2 linked regions of the Drosophila melanogaster genome follow. The gene in region 2 interacts genetically with the main gene of each other region. Each region holds a gene or a part of one and is shown on either strand. Other genes may lie near its edges.

Region 1 (7,312 bases), on a different chromosome or scaffold from region 2:
CTTTCGTTCGGCATCCCAAAAATCCGAGTCTGTGTAGTCTGTGTAGTATGGAGTCTGAAGTCTGCAGTCTGGGCATCCGCCGGCAACCTGTTTTGGCCTGACTGACTGCCCGCTTACCATGATTATTGTGATTATTGGCTGGCGGTCGAGGGGAAAACTCTGTGGCGCTCGTATCTCGAATCTGAGCGAAACCCCAAAACACACAAATTGAATAGGAATACGAAAACGAAAGTGAAAATGTTTATCGAAAAGGGAAACGGGGAAAAACAAAGCAGAAGATCAGCAAAGCATAGATCGTGCGCTGCCCCATCCCGCATTTCCTAGCACTCTGTCGTCCAGTCAGTCCAGTCAGTTCAATGCCGTAAATTAAGCTGGCAATTTCTTGCTTTGTTTGTCGGTGAAATCTGCCTAACAAAGAAAACTCCTGCCCCTGCCGTGAGTGCGTGGAAAGCGGTTGGACCGTGTTGAGGATGGTTGGGATTGCCACCTCCATTGCCGAGTGGGGCAGCGGGTCAGGGAAAACGAGCTTGACCTTAGGCCCCTGCCGAACGAAACCAATCGCGATTCCAAACTAACTGAACCTCACCTTGTTTTTTCGCGGCGGCTTCTTGACTTCAACTTGCACGGCTGTTTGCATCTTCCTGCCCCAGAACTGGGTTCTCAACTGGGCAAAGTTTTTGGCCGAGATCCGTATCTTATCCAACTCGGTCCAAAATATAGCTATATTTGCCTTGCTTTGCATGTTTACTTGCTTTGACACTGACAATGATACGCCATCCAAGATGCGGAGATACTCAGCGAAAGAGTGGAAGAGCAAGGTGGCGGGGAATCTTATCACAGCTGATGTGATAATTACCCAGAGCAAATACTGAGATACATGGTATTGTACTATATATATGGAACTCCTCGTTTAAGGTGTATTTATCGTTTAGATTTCTTGTTCACATATAATTTAAAAAGAATGTTCATCGATCGCTTTCAGCTCATTTTATATAAACGAGAACCTAATATGTCCCGATATGGTTACCTTTAATTGCTAATTGCTTGGCTTATGTGCCGGACATCCCATCCACATCCGATCCACGAACAAATGCGTTATCAGCTGTCAGATGGGCACTTTCACTCGGAAAAAAAAAGGCGAAAACAAAGGAATTATGCTTTTCCAGTTGATTAGTCGGGTCAGCGGCGGCTAATTCATGTCCGCATAAATTTCAATTCAAATCTCTGACAAACTCTGGAAAGTTTCGGAGCGTAGGTGGCCCGCAAATGGATCGCATTACATGCAGATACTTTGGTATCTATTGCCATTAGGAATGATGAAGTAAGTCAAACAAGACGGCCAGCTGGAGTGGAGTAGAGTGAATTGCATTGGATTGGATTGGATTGGATTGGAGAGCAGCGGTCTCCGAATCCGAATCCAAGTCCAAGTGGATTAAATCGAGCTGGAGTGGGGACTTCACATGCAAATCAGGCTGAGACAGGAAATTATTACACACTTTTCCCAGTCTAGTTTTGGTCATGTGCTGGTGGTGCCTGGTTTCGGTTGCTTTCGCAGCGATTCATTAGCATTGCACGGCTTCCGTATATGGGCTCCGAAAATGTATAAAGTGTTCGTGTGCGGCCAGGCCTATGCCCAATTGCTATAGGGTTATATGGCTATATGGGTCAGAGCTTCCCGTGTCTAGGTAGTGATATCAATCCGTTATCGGGAATCAACTTTCTGTGATGCGGTCACCACAATCGAGGAGACGGGTGGCCGGAGACCTTGGCGGTCTGTCTGGATTTGTCTAGGGTTCGGATTACGGACTATGCCATATTATTATTTCATACACTATAAATACACTATAATGCAATAGATATATTTTTTTTTTTGTAGCAGACTTTGGCATAGCCCAAGAAATACTAGCAGGCCTTGCAGCCTCAAGCTGAAAGTGCCACATATAAATAGCAGGTAATTGGAGGTGAGCAAGTGTGAAGCCACCGGTTGAGATAATTTAACTATCCATCCAATGACTTGGCCCACATTCCAGCTCCAGTGCTCGTGAGAATCGAGTCCGTCTGCTGAATGCCCCCGTATCGCCTCGAACTACTCCGTGGGCTAGGCCAATGTCAGTCTGGCCTAGCTAGCCTAGAGCCTAGAATCCGCCAGCGGCTTGCGTCATAAATAAGGCGGCCACAGGCCAGACGAACCAGTTCGCGAGCGGGTTTGGCGGCAGTTGCAGTTGCAGATGCAGAAGCAAACAGTTGGCCGAGATGCAGATGCTGATGCAGATGCAGATTATGCAACCTGCGCATTTCGTGGAGAAAGCTCAATGGAATTCTAGCGCAGATTGCGGTAGTTGACGTCACAACGGAACTTGCCGTTAATTATTGGTCATTCGTTGGGGATAATCCCTCCAATCGCGAATTATGATAGCCCCCATTCCCTGCCCCTTCCCGTTGCCCAACTCCCTCTAGGCGTCAGTGTGTCGCCAGGAAGTAAACTCAGCGCAGCCCGAAGTGGAGCTACAAGTCATTGAAAACCCACACAAGTAGAGCGTAGGACAGACAAGTGGTATTATGACATTTCCCAACCAGCATAGAGGTGTTGTGTCAGTTGAGTTGGTGTAAAATATGCGATAAATGCCATTGCTATGCTGTGCAGTATTTGTTCTTTTTCCTTTCCAAAGCCATACATACATTTCGATGGACTTCAGTCAGCTGGGTTGCTATAAAGCTATTGCAGTTGCAGTCTTCTAATTTCATGCCGAATCCAAGCCAGGAGCTGCTTCATTCATCGCAACCAATAAGTGCTGGTCGAGAGTGCGAGAATGGGATAGCATGGGATGGGTCTTGAGAGGATCCAGCAGAGGCTCGACCGTTCAGATTGCCCAACTCTTACCCCCCATCGGCATTTCTACACTCGCACACAAGAAGGCAACCGAAAATTATTACTAATTAATTATTGTTGCACAAACAGCAGACGCCTGGCTGCAGTGCACCTCGAGTACTTTCGGTACCTCCAATACCGATCCCATCCCGCCATATAATTTGCCGAATTGGACGTCGGCCACTTGTTTGTTTTTCGTTTGATTTTTGTTTTATGTTTGTTATGCGGCGCGCGGCATTTCGTCAGCTCATTCAATTGAAGCTCATTCAGCCGCACTTAAATCAGGGGCGAAGTGAGCGGGGGAATTGGTGGATTGCGGGATGGCGGCCAATGGGCACTTAATTTCGCTGGAGCGCATTTCACTTTCATTTCCACACAATCAAAATACGTCGAGTACCCGGGCATCGGACATCGGGCATCCGAGCATCGGGGATCGGGGATCGGCGATCGGAGAAGGGGGACTGGGAAAAGTGAGGCGCAAAAATTTCAATTTCATTTTATTTATGAGCGTCTAGGCGACACTTTTGAATGCAAATGACGTTAAATTGTTGGTCAAGTGAGAGCGGACTCTCGCTGCCTATTCCCCCTTTTCCCTGCCCCTCATCTACTTCGCCCCCCCCCCTCGATACGAGGCTCACAGACAGCAGGTGGAAAACCTTAGAGGTGCAGCAGGGAACTGCGTGACGAAACCAAAGCAGTTAAGAGGGACTTACCCTTCAGCCAATAACTTTTCTTCGAAATTGCAAAAGGGGTTGCGAAGTAAAAGCACAGAAGCTAGACAGACTTCCTAACCAAACAAAATAGTTTATGAATATAACAATAGATGTATTAAATGTACAAAGTATTCGAGGCGACAGTGTAGCAAATAGTTTTCACACCATTTTACTGGGTTGCACAAAAAGCGATTCAATTTAACGAAACAACCGAACCGAATTCGTGTAAAGGTCCACTCTTTGGCAGGTTTAAGTGGATCGACCCAGAGACCCACTAACGCCCCCAAAAGCCCAGAGAATCCCTTGGCACTCACCGTGTTGATCTTATCCATGAGGACACTCATTTGATTCATGCTCGACATAATGATACTGCTCTGTAGCACTGGAATTCGAATTCAAAAACTATAACTATAGCGTTGCAAGTCTCTTCTGCCGCGGACTGGGATGCAGCACCAATTCGCACATCACGCACTGCTCATTGCCAATTCACTTGATGCAAAAAAAAATTAATCCGAAGAAAAAAAAAATTTTAAATTGACATACAAAGTGTATTCAAACAGTGTTCGTTCGCTTTGCGAAAAGCACACGCGCGCGCGTATTTCCAATTTCCGATTTAATCAGTTCGACTTCTATATAGCCTATAGCCTTAGGTTTTGCTTTCCATAGCCGGTCTCTGTCTGCCGGATGACTTGACCCGCTCGCGTGCGTTCTTATCGACGGCTGGCAGCGCATTGAACGCTCGCCGCTCAAGACGTGCCCACGGCAGCGGCGACTTGGCCAAAAGCAACACGACGAGCACGAGCACGTCGCCGCGGCAAGCCGAAGAAGTTGGCCAAGACAGAGTGGCAGCGACAGGTGCCAGCAGAGAGCCCGAGAGCCGGAGCGGGCTCCAACGCGAACGCGAAACCGGTCGACGGCAGAAAGCGGGCTCTGAGCCTATTCTGTGCCTAATGCCGCAGACCCCACTGTGTCCCAGTCTCAGTCGCACTCCCGCCCGCACACCGCTCGCCTTGGCTCGCGGATTGGGGCCGCCTTGGTGGATAGTGGGTGGTGGAAGGTGCTGCATTTCCATGTGCGTGCGGGGTGCATTCCTGGGGTATTTATGAAATCACAAGGGCTGAGACACTTGAAGAGATATCGAGGTAATTATGGGTGTGAAACGAAGAGCTTACTGCTACGAGCATTTAGAAGACCAAGCGGAGCCTAAGGTCCACGATACTGGAATACCACCTGCGATTCATTCCCAAATGCAATCCAACCAGTGATAGTTTAACTTCGAAAGGAGACAACTAGCCGACCAATGTAAAGGAGTTGGAAGCATGAAACCAAGCCAAGAAACAATTGGACAGCCGAACTGTCTATCGAACAACTTAATTAGCTCTGGCAAATCAGCCGCACACAACAGACAATTGTTAGTCCGCTCGATAAGTTGTTCGGCAACATGCACATAGCCATGTTCACCGGTAACTTTGGCAATTGTGGGCTCAAAGCCGCCAGAGTCGAAGTCAAAGTCAAAAACAATTTAAGGTCGTCACAAGTAAAGTTTGTTATTCCCTCTCTTTTGTTTCGATTTTGCAAGTGTCATGCAAAAAATAAAATATCATGGCAATACCGCCGTGTAAAAACACCGCCTCTGCCCCTCTATCTCCACTTCCCGATTTTCAGCAACGATTCTCATCATCTCTTTTTTTTATGTAACGGTCCTTATTAGAGCCAATGTTGTTGTCTTATACCGACGATCATTGGCCAAATACCGAATGCTGACGGTCATTCAATTTGGAGTCGACGGCATGAGGTGGCCATCCGTTCTTTAGCTGTTTTGGCTGGATATTCGCGCCTTTTTTTTTTAGCTTTTTGATACCCTTAACAGTTGAAGAGGCAAATGCTATTATTATTTTAAAACCAATTTGATGGTGTAACCATCTTCTACCACGTCTAAATTTTGATCGTTGAAAATAGAAGAGCGACTATTCAATGATGTATCATACTTATATTTATGGGCTGTAAAGCGCACTCATTTTCCGATTTTCTAGACCTATCGAACATTTACCAACTGCCTCCTCGGCAGCGAACCGTCTTCAATGACTTCTTACTCACCTGTTGTTGCTAATTGGCTTCGTTGTTGGGATTAGTCTTTGGCTGCAAGTGGAAAAGAGGAGAACGGCGAGAAGCAAATTAGTAGGAATCCGTCATAGTCATAGGTAGTCGGAGTGGTAGTCTCCCTATTGATTAATGCAATCCTCACAGCCCGAGCCAAATCGAATCGACTCTCCCATTTCCCATCTCCCATTTGCTACTCGAAGGGCTTTTTATGGGTGTTGTGCCAACTCATCCGAAAGCCACCACGCTTCGATCGCAATTACTTGGCCATTATGTGATGCAGCCAGACATAATTTCCCATTAGCAGCTTTTTGTCGATGGGCCAAGAAAACGTGAGCATGAGGCAGTTCGTAATCACTCAAAGAACCCACTTCATTTCCCTGGCTAATCTGATTTGGTTCGCCCCTATCTCCAGGCACAACCTCTGCCCAGCCCCTTTTCCATTTCCAGCTAATCGCAGATGCTCCTACTTCATCAAGTCTGCCTCCGCCCGAAATCTTGTAAAATCATATCCATATCATTTTTGAGCTTGAGCTGACGAAATCCTAAAGTACAGAGAAGGTGTTTAAAAACATTGGTTGAAAGTGAAATTTTGCCCACGGCCGCGTCGTCTTCAATTTGTTTATTTTCGGCTGTTTAAATGAGTTTTCAATTTCACTAGAAAGCATGAAAGTACGGCCTTTTAATATTCTTGCCGGGCAGAAATCACAGCGAAATGGAGAAATACACAAACAATTTATCCGCCTGTTGGCACCTGACATGAATGAGTCAAACACAAGTGTTTGCTCGCCCCGTCCTTTTCCTTCGGACTCTCTCTCTCTCTCTTGCGCACGCCCACTAAATCACAAGTGTGAGTGACGAGTGGAAAGGGTGGAAAGGGTAGGGTTAGGGGTGCAGGTGAAGGGCGCGATAACTGATGTGATGCGGCTAATCTGCTTGCCAGTTTCCTGAGCCTTCTAGGGGAAAATCAAAAGACTTAAGCAACGAACTTGGGGAACAACGCTAAGGAAACAACAAAGCTGAGTAAAATAAATCTCTCGATGAAAGTGTATTATAATAATCACTGACAGCTGCCTCTCCCAGCGGCGGATCACCCGCATCTGTGCCACTCGCTCGCACATCCGTCAATTGGCCCGACTCTTTCCGGCTTACGGATTTCTGATTACGGCTCAGCGGCCCGCGGCTTCTTTGGCCAAAACGGGCGAGGAGTTGGACGAGCGACTCTGACAAATTGATATGCACATTCGGCGACATTAGCATATGTCGCGTATGCCTTAATTAACTATTCCGCTCAGCTAATATCGGTTTCACCCACCCCACAAGGGGCGTTTGGGGCCCTGCTGGTAAATTGTGGACTTGTGGATGACTTGACGCACGAGTATTTCAAATTTTTAAGAAAGTCTCGCCAGCACTTCCCATATGAAAGTTTTGCTCAGCGGCGCGGGTTGAATGACTCAGAAATCAAAATAAAAACTAAAGATAACTCTATAGTCGAGTGTCGCGACTATTAGATACCCGTTAATCAGATAGTTCATCGTAAAAGCAATAAAGCAGTTGCATGCAGAAACTCAATGCTTTAACATTGCAATGAACTCAGTCTTAACAGTCCGAATTTGAGTTTTCAGTGAAT
Region 2 (9,661 bases):
CGTCATTACATCGACGAGGCATTCTACACGTTGGTCCGCGAGATTCGACGCAAGGAAATGCACAAGGCCCTGGGCACGGACTCCAATTCGGAAAAGATTCACACGGGGCGACGAAGTCGCTGGTGGCGCATCCGATCCATTTTCGCATTGGTTTTCCGGCGCAGACGAAACCTTAACTAGACCAGGAGGCGGATTCCTTGAAATGAGTGCAATATTAACCACAAAAACCAAGTAACTTTTGTTTGCTATATTTTGTATATAGCACATACCCATCAGATACAACATACAAAAGAGAAATTAACCGATCGAGGAGCAGATAACTAATTGTTATGGCCACAGTGGTTTATTTATTATTTGTTATGGAAACTATTTAAAGTACTTGTTGTTGGCCGGAAAGGATAGCGAGGCAGTAGATCAGCGATAGAGTATATCAATACGTTTAAGCACCGATCCAAAAGATACATATTAACAATGCACGTACATATGTTTATGTAGTAAATATTACTAATGTTGATTCCTAGACGAGAGCGATTAAGCAAGTGTGGCAATTGGCTAAAGCTCAAAAGCATTTAAATTCAGCAAGATCGAGGGGTCGAGTCTTCCCCCACTAACAATCTGAACAACTCTGAATCCTAGCCAGGAGATTAACCCAAAAGCCAATTGCCAGGTGCGAAGGGCAGAGAATTGGAGGATTTTTAAACTTATGTATGTACGTATTTACCCAGAATACACGCACATGACATACGTTACACGAGCCACACATTTAACTAATCGAATAAATGTTGAATTTAATGTATACTAATATTATAAATCGATCGATCGACCTAAGAAGTATGTAAAACGCGGGAACATTGCAAATTATGAAATATGAATGAGAATGTGCGTTCATTTCAGATCCAAGCCCAAATTGATAATTTAAGTCCACGACAGCCGATGCATTTGTTGTTTAAGTTTGAGAAAAGTCTATTGTTTATATTGTTAAGGACACACGTGTTACGCCTAAGTTTATTTATTATTAGTTTAACGAAATCTGTTGATTACTTTTACCACAAGAAACCACACATCACGTTCTCTAAGCAATCACCATGAGTTCCTCTCATCAATGTTAACTGCATCACCGGAAACAAAATACTAACACGGCTTTAATTACTCTGTTTGTTACATGATCCCAAAAAACAGTTGAATGGACTACCCATAATTACTAATAATTAATTGTTATTGCGAATCCTGCAACCGTTCGAACCAAACAGATCGACTGACGAAAAAAAGAAAAACAACAGCTCCAACACGAAAACGAATCAAATGCGGGTAGAAATATAATAGAATTGCTTTCGCCGCGAAAGTTAAGCGATTAAAAAGTACGTTTTAAGAGAAAAGGCTTGGGAACTAGATGTTCAAAGCAATGTGTCGTGTCCATGTTGTTTCGAAAACGACATACCTGTTCGGGAATAATATTGTGAAACCTAATACCTAATCGATGAAAAACCAAAACATTTTGATTCATAATGTTATGTACATTTTAAATGTAAAAAAAAAAATTAAATACAAAAGCACAAAATAAACAAAAACAATACCCTCAATAAAGATTTTTTTAACCCCGTTAAAGATAAGTGTTTTGACTTTAAAGGGCGGGTATTCCCCGGATTTAAATCCATTATCTTAGCCTAATAAAATTCGATGCCCGGCCAAATAAGAAAACAGTTAGTTAAACCAAGAGTAGATCAAATGTACTGTTTATTCATAAGTATAATATAGTTTGGTTGTATCTGATGCATCTTCGAGTTTTTCAACTTCTGTGTGAGAATTACACGATTGACGGTACAAAATACAAAAAAAGAGACATACACATATGTACTGTATAGTATAATTATATGTATAATCGTATTTTATAAAATCATAAAATACTCTTCATATAGTTGTTTGGTTGTTTTGTAGTATCTTTTTTTTTTTATGTTTTCCACTCGTTTTAATGCAAAGTACAAATATTAAAAACTCGCTTAATGCGCTCGAAATAGTTTTTCACTTCATCAAAAATTTTCCCTCTTAGCATCTCCCACGCGAAAACTGAATGCATCTCATTTGTGGCTTACGTTTAGTTAAATAAACATTTATCGTTTTTGTTTTGTTTTGTTTTGTGTTTAGTTCGGCTCTTGTAATGTAGTTTCGCTTCCAACTCCTATTGGCGGCCTGGTCTCTCTGTATTTGATAGATTTAATGGGAACATAACTCTCATCTTGACGCCTACGACCTCCTTGGACCCCGGGATCCAACATCCGATTCCGTTTCCGATTCTGTTCCTAATTCCACTGATTCACCTGACTCACTCACCCTCGCATACGACACAATCTCGTCCAGCCACAGCCGACTCTACACTTGACAACACAGTTAACGAAATAATAACATACATCTAGGAGGAGGGGGTGGACAGAAACGGACACAACTTGAATATGTTTACATATATCGATATATATTTTTTGCTTGCAGTGGCTGACTGATTGATCTGCTCTGCCCTAGTTTTTACAAATAATAATGCCAGAGTTATTACTGTTGTTTACTTCGGTTTATAACTACACTAGACTGTATATAAAATCAAATCCGCATTTGACATTCTACTTGGTGCTGCCTTCCCTTATATCTCGCTGCATCCCTCCTCCGCTGATCTTCTAGCTCAAGCTCTCTGTTTTCTGCTCATGTTTGTTGCTGGTTGGGTGGTGGTGCAGCTTCGTGTATCCGATGTTCTGGTTGTTCTTGATGTTGTTGTTGAGTGGTTGTTGTTCAGCTCGTTATTGTTGTAAAAGGTGTGTATGTGTGTTTGTGTGTGTTTATGCTGTTGTTTTTGCTGTGTGTGTGTGTGGTAAAGATTTTCATGTTGTTGATTTGCTCTTTTAGAGCAAAAGGCATCTGGTCTTCTTCCTCTTTTTGACTTGCAGCGCGGCCCTAGTTGCCGTCTCGAAAACATCTCGCACACCCTCCTTGGACTTAGCCGAACACTCCAAATAGGCAAAGGCATTAATCTTCTCGGCCATGGCGCGACCCTCCTGCGGCTTCACCGGCTCCTGCTTCATTTTTGCTAGATCCTGTAAAATCAAGTTTAGTTTAGTGCTGCAAGTTCACCTCGTTCAACAGCGCGTATACGTACCCGAATTGTGTTGGGATCATTTCGCAAATCTTTCTTATTTCCTACCAAAATGATTGGAACATTTGGACAAAAGTGTTTGACCTGCAATAATGTAGTAAGGATTAGTATCATATTTTGATATCAGATTCCATATAGTCGAACTGCAAAAACAAGTAATTCGTAATTGGGAACCACTTACTTTCTTCTTATCTATATCTATCATTATAAATTAAAGGCTGAGAAGTAAGGAAATGATTCAGAAAGTCAAAGCAAATTGGCTCATAGCAGACTATTTTTAGTGATTAAACTAGAAATAACCAACAATTCTATTAAACTTTCCTCGTTCTAAACCAAAACCAGTCTTTCAGATAGCTTCAATGACATAAACAAGAACACAGAGATGCATAGTCTTAAAGATTCCATATCATAAGCAAATGCATTCGATAACTTCAAAAATGTTTAATATATTTTAACTGGAGTTAAAAGTTCAACTTTTTCCAAATTTGCATCATTACATAAAAATTAAAAACATATTTTGTCTAGACTTGTTAGTTCCGTATAGTATATATATATATAGTACCATACTTGTTTACGATCGTCTGATAGAAACTGTTCTGTAATTCCAGTTAAACTCACCTCTGGGGTCCATTTTTCAGGAATATTTTCTAGCGAATCGGGTGAATCCACTGAGAAACACATCAGTATGACGTCAGTGTCGGGATAGCTCAGCGGTCGTAGTCTGTCGTAGTCCTCCTGCCCGGCCGTATCCCACAAGGCCAGCTCCACCTGGAGAATCGGATGCGGATTATGATTGAGAGTTACGCTTGCAGTTGCGGTGTCGTCAGGGTTATAGATAGATGGGGCTTTTTGTGGCACGGGACGGTGCGATGCGGGCTCGGAGGAGAATGGGACAAGTTCGAGTTGAAGATAGCATGAGTGCGAGTACGAGAGTGTGAGCAAGGAACTTGACGGAAATGCCAAACGAATTAATCACATCGAAGCGAGGCGAAGTGGAATGACGTGAACTTGTGTGTATGTAAACGCTATCCAAACAGAAACACAAACAGAAACTGAAAATTGAAAACCCGCCATATTGCGCAGCAAAGGCAAACACACAGTGTTTATTTCGAAAAAAAGCGCCTGAAAATACTGTAGATCCCAAATGGAATATATGAACGAACATATAGCCAAATCATGACTTGATGCCCCAATGGAAAACGCACATTACATTCCATAGAGTAAGGGAGTGCGCGGTGGAGCGGGAGAGCGCTCCCCCCCCTTAGAAGAGAGTACAGGTAGGCAGGGAGAAAGAGTAAGAGTGAGAGCGCCCGAGAGAGCAGCAGAAAGAGCGGGGGGCGGCGCAACGCATTAAACTGTATGTGCGCAACGGACTTGTATAAGACAAATACAAAATAAAAAGAAAAGAAAACGAGCGGAAGGAAGGGAGCAGCACTACTTCTGTGTGTGTGTGTGTGCTGCCAACTCTCTGTTGAGCATGTGTGCGTGTAAGTGTGGGGAAATGTGCCCAAGTGTGACTTAATCACTGCTATCAAAACTTTGAATTCTTCGGAAAAATCCAAATTTGCACTCCACTTAACCAAAAATGATCTTAATTTTTCTTTTGCTTTTCCAGACACCTTTATTTATGGATGCGTCTGTGGGCATGAGGCGATATTGACTCATTTCATTTTACAGGCGAAGAAAAGGAAATACAACGACCAAGGTGTGGGTGAAGTTGTGGGTGGCACAAACAAGAGAACAATAAACACACACCCATGGGAACACACACCCGCACACACACACACACACACACACACACACACAGAGGCGGGTGGAAAGTGTAAGGAGGATACGCGCACTTGAAAAACGGAATGAATTGAGAATGCACACAAATTATAAAACGAGATCAGACGATTATCACTTGGATGGCAGGGTGGGGTTATCAGGGGAGGGGGGTCAGCCACCGGTTGGGGGTGGCATTCAGAGTGGTGGACGGGACGGGTAGTTAGGGGAGGGGCGGGCCTGTCCGGGAAAAGGGGCTTACCTGTTTGCCATCCACCTCGATGTCGGCCACATAATTCTCGAATACGGTGGGCACATAGACCTCGGGGAACTGATCTTTGCTGAAGACAATCAGAAGGCAAGTTTTACCGCAGGCACCGTCGCCGACAATTACCAATTTCTTGCGAATCGTCGTCATTGGAAGTTCTGCAAAAGGCAAAATCAAACTGTAGCTAGATGCAATGCAAGTGCAGCGGATGCCCGAGGATTCCGAGTCCGATTCTGAATCCGAATACAATTTTCGATTCCGAATCCGAGTCAGCCGTTCTGTTTTATATATTCGCGAAAACTGAACGAGCGCCTGTTCAAAAAATTATCAAAATGAAAAAGCCACACACACACTCGCATACAGTCACACGCACACTGGTGGACACACAGCACAAATACACTCGCGCGCTCGCTCTCTTTTCCGATAGCCCTCTCCCGCTCGCGCACACACTTAGTCATACTTGCGGCTGGACGGCGATCTAATAGTATAAAGTGTGGGGTTCTTTCTTATCTGGCCATTGTCCATTGTCCGTTAGCCGAGTTTTTCCCGTTTTTCTTTACGGTTTTTCGCATTCGCATTTTCATTTTGGTCGCGTCATAGGGCCGCCCGCTTCTCCACCCCTCTCTCCAACACTCCAGGAAACTCCTCTCTCCGCGCCCGTCCCGCTCACACTTTATTCCAAAAACATCTCATCATCCACTCTCGGTATGGCTGTGTGTGTGTGTGTGTGCGTGTGTCTGTTCGCCTCTGGCTGGGCGTGCGTGCATTTGTGTGCGTGCTGTGTGGAATTTTTTCACTTCTGCTCTTTCGGCCACTTACAATTTATATTGGTGATTTCACAACACTCAGCACGAATTCGACACTTAATTTGCTTACAAAATGGCACAAATTTGTTGATTCTTATGCGTCTACCGTTTAGCTATATCGTATAAAAGTTAATGCAATTACAAAAATTCGAATTGAACTCGACGATTTTTTCCCATGCAAAATGACGATGAACAATGTTCATCCGTTTCATTTCTCGGTAGCGGGATGAACGCTCGATGACCAACCAACGCCTTCGAGCGCAGGGCTGTTATTAACCCAATCGATAGTTCTCATCGATGGCAACTCTGTGCGCGTTATTCCCATGACCGACCACGACTGGTAACACCGCACATATGTTATTCTTGCTCTTCTTCTTAAATTTGCGGTCGCATGGCCCGGGAAGTATTGGTAGTTCAGCAAAAAACTGAAAAGGAATGCTTGACGAACATATTCTGAAAGAAATGAAACTGAGCTTCCAGCTCACCGAACAGCGAGAACTAGCCTCTGGTCGCCGTAAGCCGGAAAAACCACAACACCCACCTGCTGTTCCAAAGAAAAAAGTTATTTCAAAGGTGGCCAGCAATCCTGCAAAGATTTCGGAAACAATGATTCAAAAAGCCCAGATGGAGTCGCCCAAAAAATCCAAGAAAAATAAGACAGCCGGCGCAAAGAGACCTCTTTCCAATAATGTGTCGAATCCAGACAGTTCACCATCCCAGAAGAGGCTTAAAAAGGATAATACCCTACCCAAAAAGAATCCTGTAAATAAATCCTCAAATGTTGCAGCTAAAAAATCTGCAGCAACAAGCAAAAGTGCTAAGCTTCCTATTCCCAAGGTTCATAGTATAAATGGTATGCATTAGATCCAGAATTACAACCTCATTTTATTTTAATATATATGTATTTTTCAGAATTAGCTCCTAAGAAAACCAAAGTCAAGACGCCAAATAAAACAAAAGAAGCAAGTTTATCTAAGAAACATAAGGTAAATGGAAACAAGAGCTCAATGAAGGTCGTACAAAATGGTAAAGTAGTAGAGATAATTGGTACTGCAGCGGAAACAAGTGACATTGAAATGAATTCATTGGATGATTGGAGTGAAGAAGACGATTATTTAATTGAAAGTGGTAAGGAATTTTTAATATTACTCTTGTTTCTTAACTTAAACTATGTTTTTTAGACTCTGAAAACGATGTAGTTGAAGAAATAGACGAGACATTTCTTAAAGATCCAAAGATTTTTAAGGTCAAATGCAAAGGCCCCGAATACAAGTTATCAGATATTCTTCCTCCTTTTGAACACGATGAATACCAACCTCTTTTGTTGGATGGGGATGGCAGTGGAACAGTTCGAAAGATTAAGGTATTTAAAAGTGCACAGGAAGAAACTGACAGCGACGAAGATGACATTGATTATGAGCCAGAAGATAGCGATGACTTTGGATCGGAGGAATTTGACAGCGAAGAGTCTGACAGTGAAGACACAAGCAGCGCAGACTATGATAGTGATGGAGATTTCTACAGTGAATATAGCGATATGGAGGATGTTAGTGACAGCGATAGTGAAGAATTCGGAAGCGATATCTTCGACACCGACGACCTCGATTCAACTTATGAGCCACCTGACATTGAGGGATTCTTCGATCATCCACCTGTGGGTATGCAAAGAGAGCCGCTTATTATAGAGGAAATCTTCGACGATCCGCCTGTGGAAAAAAAGCAAGAACGTATTGAACAGTCAAGTGTTATGGATATTGTTGTAAAAAACTTAAGCAGTGTGCCCCCAAAGAAGGAGTCTGAAGTTGCAATTGAAACCGAAGAGAATGATGAGGTATCACTGCCTGAAGTTGTAACACCAGAAAAGGAAAATTATCTCCAACCAAGCGATGTCCCGTTTTACAGAAATCCGCAAGCGAATCCCACTGAGCTTAGCGTCTTTGAGAACAGTCTGAAGAGCAATCATGTGCTGGCCGTGATTAAGGAGGACCTCGAAGTTTATGGCACACTAGTGTTGACTCTACTCTGTGGTCAAATATCAGTAAATGGTTACAGAGCACGCAGGCAGGAAGCAATCACAATTTATTCTCCTAAAGGCCTTAATTGGGTATCTATTTCGCCAACCAAGACTAAAAAACCTGTAAAAGATGAGGTAAATTGGGAAGAACTCAACAAGAACTTTACACGCGCCCAGCTAGACAGGATTAAGACCAGCTTTCAGCGTCAGACGAATGCAATAGTACTGCTCCACCGAAACACAAGTGCCCAGCAGCTCGTCGATACCTTTGGCAAGCACATGGCGCAAAATGTATTCCCACTTGTCAATTCTTCCAATCGACCATTTGGCCAAAGTGAAACCCTGTTGCACTGTCTGATTCAATCGAGCGATCAAAGTCGCACTCTCCAAGTTCCGCAGGTTTGGAATAAGTTACAAATGCATGCAACGAGCCGAATAATCGTAGCCGGTGGTAAGGGCGTCGGAAAGTCTAGTTTATTGCGTTACCTCATCAACCGAAATCTGGGTCAATTCCCATCCATGCTGCTCATCGACCTGGACATTGGTCAGCCGGAAATATTTGTACCCCAGACTATTTCTTGCACCGTAATTGATGAGCCCCTTCTGGGACCGGGCTTCCTGTACAACAGGCAGCCGGAACATGCCATTGTCGTGGGCCACACCAACATTGTCTTGTGCGCAGAGCAGTATGCCCGAGCAGTTATTCAGCTAGTCCAAAACATTCAGAACGATGCCAAGTATTCAAATATTCCTTGGCTGATAAATACGATGGGCTATAATAAGGGATTTGGTATCGAATTGATGGCTCTGCTGGTGGATCGCATTCGTCCCACGGATCTTGTACAGATTGCCAGTCCCATTCCAATCAATAACTTTGATTCTGTCCTCGACCGGAACAGTCTGTCGCAGATAAAACCAATTATATACTCTGCGGAGGAGTTCAAGATCAATGAAATACCAAAATACACACTCCATAAGCTGATAAGTGCAGTGCCTGCAAGGGAAAAAGGAACTTGGAGTCTCAGCGCCAAGGACATGCGGTACTCCAATCTTCTGGCACGTCTCAGTTCCTGCCTGACTGGAAATGCCAAATCTCTTACAGACTGCCAGCCGTTGGGAGTGTCTTTGGAATCCCTGAAAATCCTGCATCCCACCAGCAAGAATTACTCGCGCGAAGAACTGATTCGAGGCATGGAGGCTAATGTAGTATATCTGTGCCATCACGGAGCAGGTCTGCCCCAATGTTTGGGAATAGGTTTGTACACATTCACGTTCTTTTGTGGCTTATTAATTGAATTCCAAAATTCTTTTAGGTGTGGTTCGCGCCATCGACTACGAGCGCAAGGAGTTATACCTGGTGCCAGCAATGCCGCTACAAAAGATGTCCCTGGTGGATTGTCTTATCCTCGGCGGGGAACAGTCCCTGCCGCAGGGCTTCCTTCGGGATCAGGGCCAAGGTGTGTCCAGCAGTGTGCCCTTCGTGTTCATCCTTGACGATTCGAAATCTTCGAAGAGTATTCAGCAGATCTACCATCGAGCGCCAGCCTTTCTGGGAGTACCAGCGAATCAACGAAACTAAAACTGAGCTTACTGTAGCAATCGCAATCGGATAACATTGTAAATAAAGTTAGGTTTATTAACACAAGGCTAGTGTGACAAATTGTGACGTCCTT

The links. A genetic interaction does not mean that the proteins touch.
Region 1: of Rho1 (region 2) and DAAM, changing one enhances a phenotype caused by changing the other (phenotypic enhancement), as found in Drosophila melanogaster (2 studies listed by BioGRID).

What each region holds. Positions count from the first base shown.
Region 1 is NC_004354.4:1,304,180-1,311,491, forward strand, and holds the start of DAAM (dishevelled associated activator of morphogenesis), read right to left. Parts: upstream 4,294-7,312; 5' UTR 3,945-4,293; coding exon 3,897-3,944; intron 667-3,896; exon of another isoform or gene 587-666; intron 182-586; exon of another isoform or gene 1-181.
Region 2 is NT_033778.4:16,099,276-16,108,936, reverse strand, and holds Rho1 (Rho1), read right to left. Parts: upstream 6,251-9,661; 5' UTR 6,045-6,250; exon of another isoform or gene 5,988-6,044; intron 5,841-5,987; exon of another isoform or gene 5,629-5,840; intron 5,472-5,628; exon of another isoform or gene 5,327-5,471; 5' UTR 5,319-5,326; coding exon 5,163-5,318; intron 3,905-5,162; coding exon 3,755-3,904; intron 3,221-3,754; coding exon 3,140-3,220; intron 3,078-3,139; coding exon 2,886-3,077; 3' UTR 1,708-2,885; downstream 1-1,707. Other genes in the region: Ric (Ras-related protein interacting with calmodulin), read left to right, coding at 1-180; CG8414 (uncharacterized protein), read left to right, coding at 6,410-6,827, 6,887-7,102, 7,156-9,243, 9,302-9,567; mRpL34 (mitochondrial ribosomal protein L34), read right to left, coding at 9,636-9,661. UniProt on the Drosophila melanogaster protein: Has a role in regulating actin cytoskeletal organization: required during early development for proper execution of morphogenetic movements of individual cells and groups of cells important for the formation of the embryonic body plan.